Canis lupus familiaris: one gene and its partner. The protein of the gene in region 1 interacts with the protein of each later gene in a biochemical or structural test. Links are inferred from orthologs where the notes say so. Each region holds a gene or a part of one and is shown on either strand. Other genes may lie near its edges.

The links.
Region 2: the proteins of CDK7 (region 1) and GTF2H3 form a complex in vitro, tested with the Homo sapiens proteins (2 studies listed by BioGRID). The link is inferred for Canis lupus familiaris from reciprocal best matches to the Homo sapiens genes CDK7 and GTF2H3.

The regions. Positions count from the first base shown.
Region 1 is NC_049223.1:53,560,019-53,563,835, forward strand, and holds part of CDK7 (cyclin-dependent kinase 7), read left to right. Parts: intron 1-120; coding exon 121-189; intron 190-2,383; coding exon 2,384-2,494; intron 2,495-3,523; coding exon 3,524-3,642; intron 3,643-3,817. UniProt on the Homo sapiens protein: Serine/threonine kinase involved in cell cycle control and in RNA polymerase II-mediated RNA transcription. Cyclin-dependent kinases (CDKs) are activated by the binding to a cyclin and mediate the progression through the cell cycle.
Region 2 is NC_049247.1:6,237,543-6,241,848, forward strand, and holds the start of GTF2H3 (general transcription factor IIH subunit 3), read right to left. Parts: upstream 2,846-4,306; 5' UTR 2,740-2,845; coding exon 2,727-2,739; intron 1-2,726. Other genes in the region: EIF2B1 (translation initiation factor eIF-2B subunit alpha), read left to right, coding at 3,017-3,029, 4,267-4,306. UniProt on the Homo sapiens protein: Component of the general transcription and DNA repair factor IIH (TFIIH) core complex, which is involved in general and transcription-coupled nucleotide excision repair (NER) of damaged DNA and, when complexed to CAK, in RNA transcription by RNA polymerase II.

The DNA of each region.
Region 1 (3,817 bases):
CAGAGTATTATCAGCAGTCTTCATGCTTGTTTAAATTTTTAAAAATTAGTTGGTACAGTATTTTCAAGTACTTTATAGAAAATCACATTATTTATTTATTTTTTGAATTTTGCTTTGCAGCTCCTTGATGCTTTTGGGCATAAATCTAATATTAGCCTTGTCTTTGATTTTATGGAAACTGATCTAGAGGTAAGATTAAGATTCCTAAGAGATTTTTTTTCTCTTTTTATCAAAAGAGAACCTGTTTATTTCCTACTTTCGAAGGTACTGTTATTCAAAGGAATATTTAATTTTTTTGGAATGTGAACGTACTCCTAAGTAAAGGATCTTCTGAATCATTTAGCCGTATTCCCAGTGTTAGATACAGAGATTTGGATTTCAAAACATTTCTATCTACCAAGCTCCCTCTACCTTATTGACATTATTTTTAGAGAAATGAGTATTAGGCCCTTGAGAATTTAGAGTTTCTTTTCCATATTATCACAGAATATCATCCTTTTGACAGCCAAGTTTTTTTTTTGTTTGTTTGTTTTTTTTTGAGAAAATGAGATCTTAGGCTTTTCCTTAATACTAATTAAGGAACCTCGAAAACTAACAACAACTGGAATTCTCATACACCGCTGGTGAGCATGCAGAATCGTACAGCCAGTTTGGAAAATAGTTTGGCAGTTTCTTAAACAGTGAAATACACTGCTAAAGAATGATCTAGCAATATGACTGCTAGGTATTTAAGAGAAATAAAAATATGTCTACCCAGAAATTAATTGGTACACAGATGTTCACTTTTGTTCATTATTGCCCAAACTTGAAACAATCCAAATATCTTTCATCTAGTTAATATAGAAACAAACTGTGGTACATCTTTAAAATGGAATACTGTTTGGGGATAAAAAGAAATAAATTGCTCATATATGTATATAACAGTAGAGAGGAATCTCATTACATAGATTGTGCTAAATGAAAGAACTCAGGCTCAGTCCAGGCTGTGTATTATATGATTCCATTTATATGATGTTCTGGAAAAGGCAAGAACTAAAGAAACAGAAATCAGGTCAGTGGTGGTCAGAGTTGGGAGTAGAGGGAAGTATTGGGCATAGAGGGGCCTGGGGCGATTGGGGTATGGGTGAGAGTTAAAAGAACTCTATCTTGATTATGATAATGGTTACACAACTGGATGTCTTTGTTAAAACTCATGGAACTGTGCACTAGAAAGGGCATATTTTGCCTAAATCTGATTTTTTTTTTTTTTTAAGAAATGGGATTGTTCTCTTAATTTCTCTGTTACTTCATTATTAGTATATGAAAATGCAACAGATTTCTATGTATTGATTTGTGTCCTGCAACGTTACTGAATTCATTTATCAATTCTAGTAGTTTTTTGGTGGAGTCTTTAAGGTTTCTTATGTATAGTATCATGTCATCTGCAAATACCAAAAGTTTACTTCTTGCCAATTTGGATACCTTTTATCTAAATATGATTTCCTTTTTTTTTTTTTTTTTAAGATTTTATTTATTTATTCATGAGAGATGCAGAGACACAAGGCAGAGGGAGAAGCAGGCTTCATGCAGGGAGCCCGATATGGGGCTCAATCCCGGGACTCAAGGATCATGCCCTAGGTCGAAGGCAGGTGTTAAATCACTGAGCCATTCAGACTGCCCCTCTAAATAGGATTTCTAAAAAAAGAAAATGATAACTTCTAGCTAACATATAAGCTTAGGAATAAACTGGCTTTTTTTTTTTTTCAATAAACTGGCTTTAAGCACAGTTCTCAAATAATGCATGAGAACTCAGTTGTGCACTTTAACTCAGCTCTATTTTCTTTGTTATCTTCCTTCATGGGCATAATTTCTCAATATAGTGGCTTATATCCTTAGAGTTTAATAATCTGTAAGGAAAGAAGGTGCTTTGTTCCCCTTGATTCTAGAAGTATTTGGCCTGTTTGATTAGCTTGGATCACATGTCCAACTCTAAAGCAGTCTTCTGGACAGCAGGCTTGAGTATGGTGGTTGGCTATGCCTGGGTCATGTATCTGCCTCTAGAGGCCACAGGTAGTGGTCAGTCCTGTTTTAAACAGGTGGTTTCCCAAAGGAATGTTGAATGCTATTATCAGAAGGGCTGTACATCCTGGGGCAAGCGAAACAACAGATGTTCACCATGTTAATGCCTTTTAAACAATGAAGTAGAAGAGAAAAAGCCCCAGCAGATACTTTCCCTAACTGGAAAATTCCGTTTCTGGAAATTCTGACACTGCTTCCTAAGGAGAGTTAGGCAGTGTTTCTTCAGATTCTCCCGTATGATGGATAAATTCATTATATGTCTGTGTGTGATTCTATATGATGTAATTTAATTGGAATAATTGTATTTTATATACTGGATTTACAGGTTATAATAAAGGATAATAGTCTTGTGCTGACCCCATCACACATCAAAGCCTACATGTTGATGACTCTTCAAGGGTTGGAATATTTACATCAACACTGGATTCTACATAGGGTAAGGTTTTTAACCAATTATGATTGACTTTTTACATTTTAGTCAAGTTTTATGTAACCAGTTATTACATAAATATTTGGTCTAAATACGTATATTATTAAAAATAAAGCCGGACCATTTTATCCCGTCTTCCTCTGGGTGTTCCCTTCAGTTATTCCACCAGGTGGTGCTAATGAGGACTGTAAAATACTATGTAAAATTTAGAAATGCAAGAGGCCCGGTTCTTCATTTTTTTCCATAGATGAATAGCTAATTTGCTGTGTCACCTGACCGAGGTTATAGTTTTTTCAAGGTCAGTAGCTGATAACCAACAGAGTATTAGAATCTAGGTCTTTTGGCTTTAAGTCCAGTATTCTTTATGCTATACTGTTGTGACAGGAAAAAAAAATACAGTGAGAGACTGGGTTAAATTATACATTGCTAAAATATTTTTAGAACAGCAATATTTCAGTAACTCTAAAATTCTGTGAAGTAATGAAATAAAGTTTCTGAAATGATTGAGTCAGTATTAGAAATATTTAGCTATTGAAACAAGGCTGACACTCTCTATAGGTAGATATTTTTAGGTACTCTATTTAGATAAATAGCTAAGAATATATAATTTATAGTCAGTAATTCTCGTACCTTAAACTTGGAATCCCTTTTAGGTTATTGCTAATATCTTTTTAGTATAGATTTTGAGGAATATGTTCCTCATTCTCTCTAAATGCATAATATTTTTATTTACTGAAGTTGCTGTGTATTACTGTTACTAAATTAATAGCAGCAATTATTTATTGAATTCCTCATTGTCATAGTAGGCTCGTTACAAAAAACACTAAATTTAATCCTCACAACAACCCTGTGAAGTAGGTAAATCCAAGGTCTCACTAAGTAATAAAACCAGTCTTTTGCTGTGGTAAGATTTTATATCTGATATGTTTAAATTTGAGGTTTTACCCTGTTTTGTTTTGTCAAGCCAACTAATTGTATTTTTATGGTATTCTCTCCCTCCTGCTTACTTGTTTATTTAAAACCTCCATGATACAGGATCTAAAACCAAACAACTTGTTGCTAGATGAAAATGGTGTTCTAAAACTAGCAGATTTTGGCCTGGCCAAATCATTTGGGAGCCCCAATAGAGCTTATACACATCAGGTTGTAACCAGGTAAGAATCACTTAAAAAACTGAAAGTTTATATTTTGCAGGATTAGTTTTTGTTTTTTTATTATTTTTTATTTTTTATTTTTATTTTTTTTTAGTTTTTGTTTTTTTAAAGTAAGCTTTTTGTAGGCCTAATAACATGGGGCTGAACTCAGGACCCTGAGATCTTGAGTCACATG
Region 2 (4,306 bases), on another chromosome or scaffold:
AACCTATAAGCACAGCTGTTAAGAAAAACCCAGAATGCTCCTTTAATAGCAAAAAGCAATAATGTATTTCCTGCCCCCACACCTTCCTTCCTGCAGTCCCACCTCCTACATCAGATAATCCCCACTCCATCGTAGATTTGTTCTCAAATCCAAATCCTATGTCCTCTACAAAGCACCAAACCAATGCTACTTTTTTTCTTCCAAAAATCCTCCCCAGGATTTCCAACAGGTCCTGGCTCCCCAACCTGAGAATAGCTGTCTGCATCAGCATATGTAATCCTATAATCCCATTTCATGCTGACAACAAACTACTGATGGAAATACTACTGTCATCTTTCATCAATTATGACAGGGACTCTCTCTTTATCAGTTGCTGAAATCAGGATGGTGTCTTATAATTAAGACTAGCAGCATGTCTCTTAGTGGCACACTAAACAAAAACAGATCTCATAATTGATACTGTCTTAGATAACTTAGATGACACAAATATGGCATTCTTATTTTCAAATGAAAGTAACTTGCTCTAAGTCACATGGCTTGCTAGCAAGCGGCAAAACTCCCTGCTATGGAGCCAGATCTACTTGACTATAAAGACTGGCTTTTCTTTTTTTTTTTTTTTTTTCAAGATTTATAATTTTTATTTATTTATGATAGTCACAGAAAGAGAGAGAGAGAGGCAGAGACACAGGCAGAGGGAGAAGCAGGCTCCATGCACCGGGAGCCCGACGTGGGATTCGATCCTGGGTCTCCAGGATCGCGCCCTGGGCCAAAGGAGGCGCCAAACCGCTGCGCCACCCAGGGATCCCTGGCTTTTCAATAACCCATTGTCCACTTCTGATCCTCTTAGTATGAATCATCTCATTTTACAGTTAGTTGTCTTTCTGATCTCTCTTGCCAGCTCTGCTAAAACTAGTCCACTAGACTGTGGCCTCATTACAGAAAGAGGATTTTTGCGAATCCTGGGATGAAATAACAAGTGCAAATCACACACACACACACACACAAAAAGTGCAAATCACACACACAAAAATGCCTAACACAGAAGCAGCATTTAATAACTGTCTTTCACTCCTCTACCCACAAGCCCACAATCCTTTGGCCTTATTCTCCATGAGCTCCACCCCACAACTCTAGGGTCAGCCAGCCCTTGCTACTGCCCAGAAGCCTGAGAAAAAAATAAAGTATTGCCTAATAGGGGAGATGAGTACCCACACACACGGACTGCCTGGTCAACTTCCTTCTTTGAGTCTCTACACCATCATTTGTAGACAAGGCCCATGCCAGGCCTGCCTCTCTCAGGACTGTGGTATGTATTGAAAAAGAAGTGATCTCCCTATTTCCACTCTTGCTCCCTTATCCACACCGCAGCCAAAGTGATCTTTTAAAATTATGCAATTCTGGGGATCCCTGGGTGGCTCAGCGGTTTGGCGCCTGCCTTTGGCCCAAGGCATGATCCTGGAGTCCTGGGATCGAATCCCACATCGGGCTCCCGGCATGGAGCCTGCTCCTCCCTCCTCCCTCTCTCTCTCTCTCTCTATGTCTATCATAAGTAAAAAAATAAATAAATCTTTAAAAAAATAAAATAAAAAAATAAAATTATGCAATTCTTTAAAATTAATTAATTAATTAATTAAATTATGCAATTCTTTGCTTAAGACCCTACAATGGTTTCATACTACACTTAAAGTTCAACCTCTTTTTTCACCACCCACAAGGGCCATGCATCTGCCTAGCTTCTGACCTCATTCCTTTAGCTCACTTCACTCCCACCACCCTGGTCTCTTTTTTCTTTAAGACATCAAGCTAGGGGCACCTGGCTGGCTCAATTGGTGAAGCATCTGCCTTCAGCTCAGGTCATGATCTCAGGGTCCTAACATTCAGCCCCATATTGGGCTCCCTGCTCAGTGGGGAGCCTGTTTCTCCCTCTCCCTCTGTCCCTCTCCCTGCTCATATTCATCCTCGCTCTTGCTCAACATCTAATAAAGAAAATTTTTTTAAAAATCAGGCTCAAGATGCCTGGGTGGCTCAGTTGGTTAAGCTCTGCCTTCAGCTCAAGTCATGATCTCAGGGTTCTGGGATCCAGCGGCGCATGTGTCTCCCTGCTCCGCAGGGAGTCTGCTTCTCCCTCTCCCTCACCCCCGCTCCCCGCTCACGGGTGCGCGCACTCTCTCTCAAATAAATGAAATCTTAAAAAAAAAAAAAAAAAAAGACAGCAGGCTCTATAGCTGGTAGTTTAATGTATGAATGAAAGTCTCTCCATCTTCTTCTACCCTCAAGTTCGCCATTTCTTAGTGTAATGTAACGACTCAACTCGCCACAGCGCCTTTGCACACTCACTGGAGACTCACTCTCAGTACCTGGACTCTTATCTAAACGTAGCTCCTCCTTGGTCATCCCCTAATGACAGTACTGCAGCATCCCAGTATATTGTCTTCACAGCTCTTGTCACCCTTCGAAAGTATTCTTATTTACTTAACTACTGTCTGCCTCGCCCACTGGACTGCAGCCTCCACGAAGGCCCTGACTGCCATGGTCTCTGCTGTATTCCCCAGCGCATACAACAACGCTGGCACACCGGAGACCATTCAAAACTATTTATTGAATAAAATAACACATCTGCTACTCCTCTAAAGACCAGACAGGTTGCCCCAGCCCCCCAAATAATGCTCCAGCTCGGTGGTCCTGCCCAGTCCCGGGGTGGGGGTCCCTCCCCGCACACCCCTCACCGTCTGACACCATGGCGGCCAGGATCCCCCAACGCAGAGGCAGCGAGCCGTCAAAAGCTCCTCCCGGATCCTGCACACCCCGACTTCCGGCGCAGCCGAGTGACGCAAGAGCGGCTTGACGCGAGCCGCGCGCCGTACCCAGGGCCCCGGCCCCAGGGCGCCGGAAGTGGAGCGCGGAGACGCGCGGCGTGCTGGCAGTCCCTGTGGCCGCGAGTCCCCGCGGCGGTGGGACCCGCTCCAGCAGCGCGGGCTGTCCGGGTCCCCTCGGGCTGTGCGATCCAGAGGGCGCCATGGACGACAAGGGTAAGTCGTAATGGATGGGCTTGCTGGAACTGAAGCGGAGCCGCGCAGGGGTCCCCCCACCTGGCACGCCCGGGCGGGGCCCTGCGAGAAATCCGTTTGCAAGTTTAGGCTGCAGGGCTGTATTTGCTGCTTCCAGTCGCAGCTCAGTCCCTCCCGCTGCCCCTGTCTCCAGGGGATGGGTCTTCAGGGTATCCCCAGACCTTCCTCTCCCGCCGCTTTCCAACGCCCACCTCCAAAAAAGGGAGACTTAGACTAGGTGTGCGCGTCTCCGCGGTTGTGATTCCCCGCCTTCTTGGATTTGGTACTAGAATTTTTTTAAAGACGTTTTAGATGCGTTCATCTGATTATCAGGATGTTTCATTAAGTGAAACACAAGGGCAAACTGACTTATATTTCTCATTTAAAAGAAATAAGAGTGGGATGGGCTGCTGCATATACATGTGTATGTGTAAGTGGGTGAACAGGCTAGAATTGGCATCGACTGTCTGGACAGGTGGAGGGTAAGTTGATAAAGTGGTTGACTCTGGGATTCTCCTAGGACTTGTAGTCAAGGATTAGAGGGAGGATGACCTTCTGTTATCATGGGGTGGTGCTTAAATTTTATGCTCTTTGTGCACGGATAGGTTTTTCCAAAAAAATGAGAAAGACAGGGATGCCTGGGTGGCTCAGCAGTTGAGCGTCTGCCTTCGTCTCAGGGCATGATCCCAGGATCTGGGATCAAGTCCCACATCAGGCTCCCTGCATGGAGCCTGCTTCTCCCTCTGCCTGTGTCTCTGCCTCTCTCTCTGTGTCTCTCATGAGTAAATAAATCTTTTTTAAAGAGTGAGAAAGACAGCTCGTAAATACTAAAGTGGTGTCATCTCTATTCCTATCAACATTTATAACGCCCGTGAAGCCAAACACCCTGAAAAGAAAGTATTTTTTTTTAATAGTTTGCTTCTGGGGTGCCTAGGTGGCTCAGTCGGTTCACTAAATGTCTGTCTTCAGCTCAGATCATGATCTCAGGGTGCTGAGATCGAGCCCGGCGTCAGGCTCCCCACTCAGCTGGAATCTGCTTCTCTCTCTCTCCCCCTCCCACCCCACTCCATGTGTGCTCTCTCTCAAATAAATAAAAATATTTTAAAAAAATAGATAAATAAAATCAGTTTGCTTGTTAAGGTCAGCAGTCATTGAAAAGCTCTCTGGTCTTACATCCTACTAAATGAATTTGATTAATCACTTTTTTCTCCCTCCCCAGAGCTAATTGAATACTTCAAGTCTCAGATGAAAGAAGATCC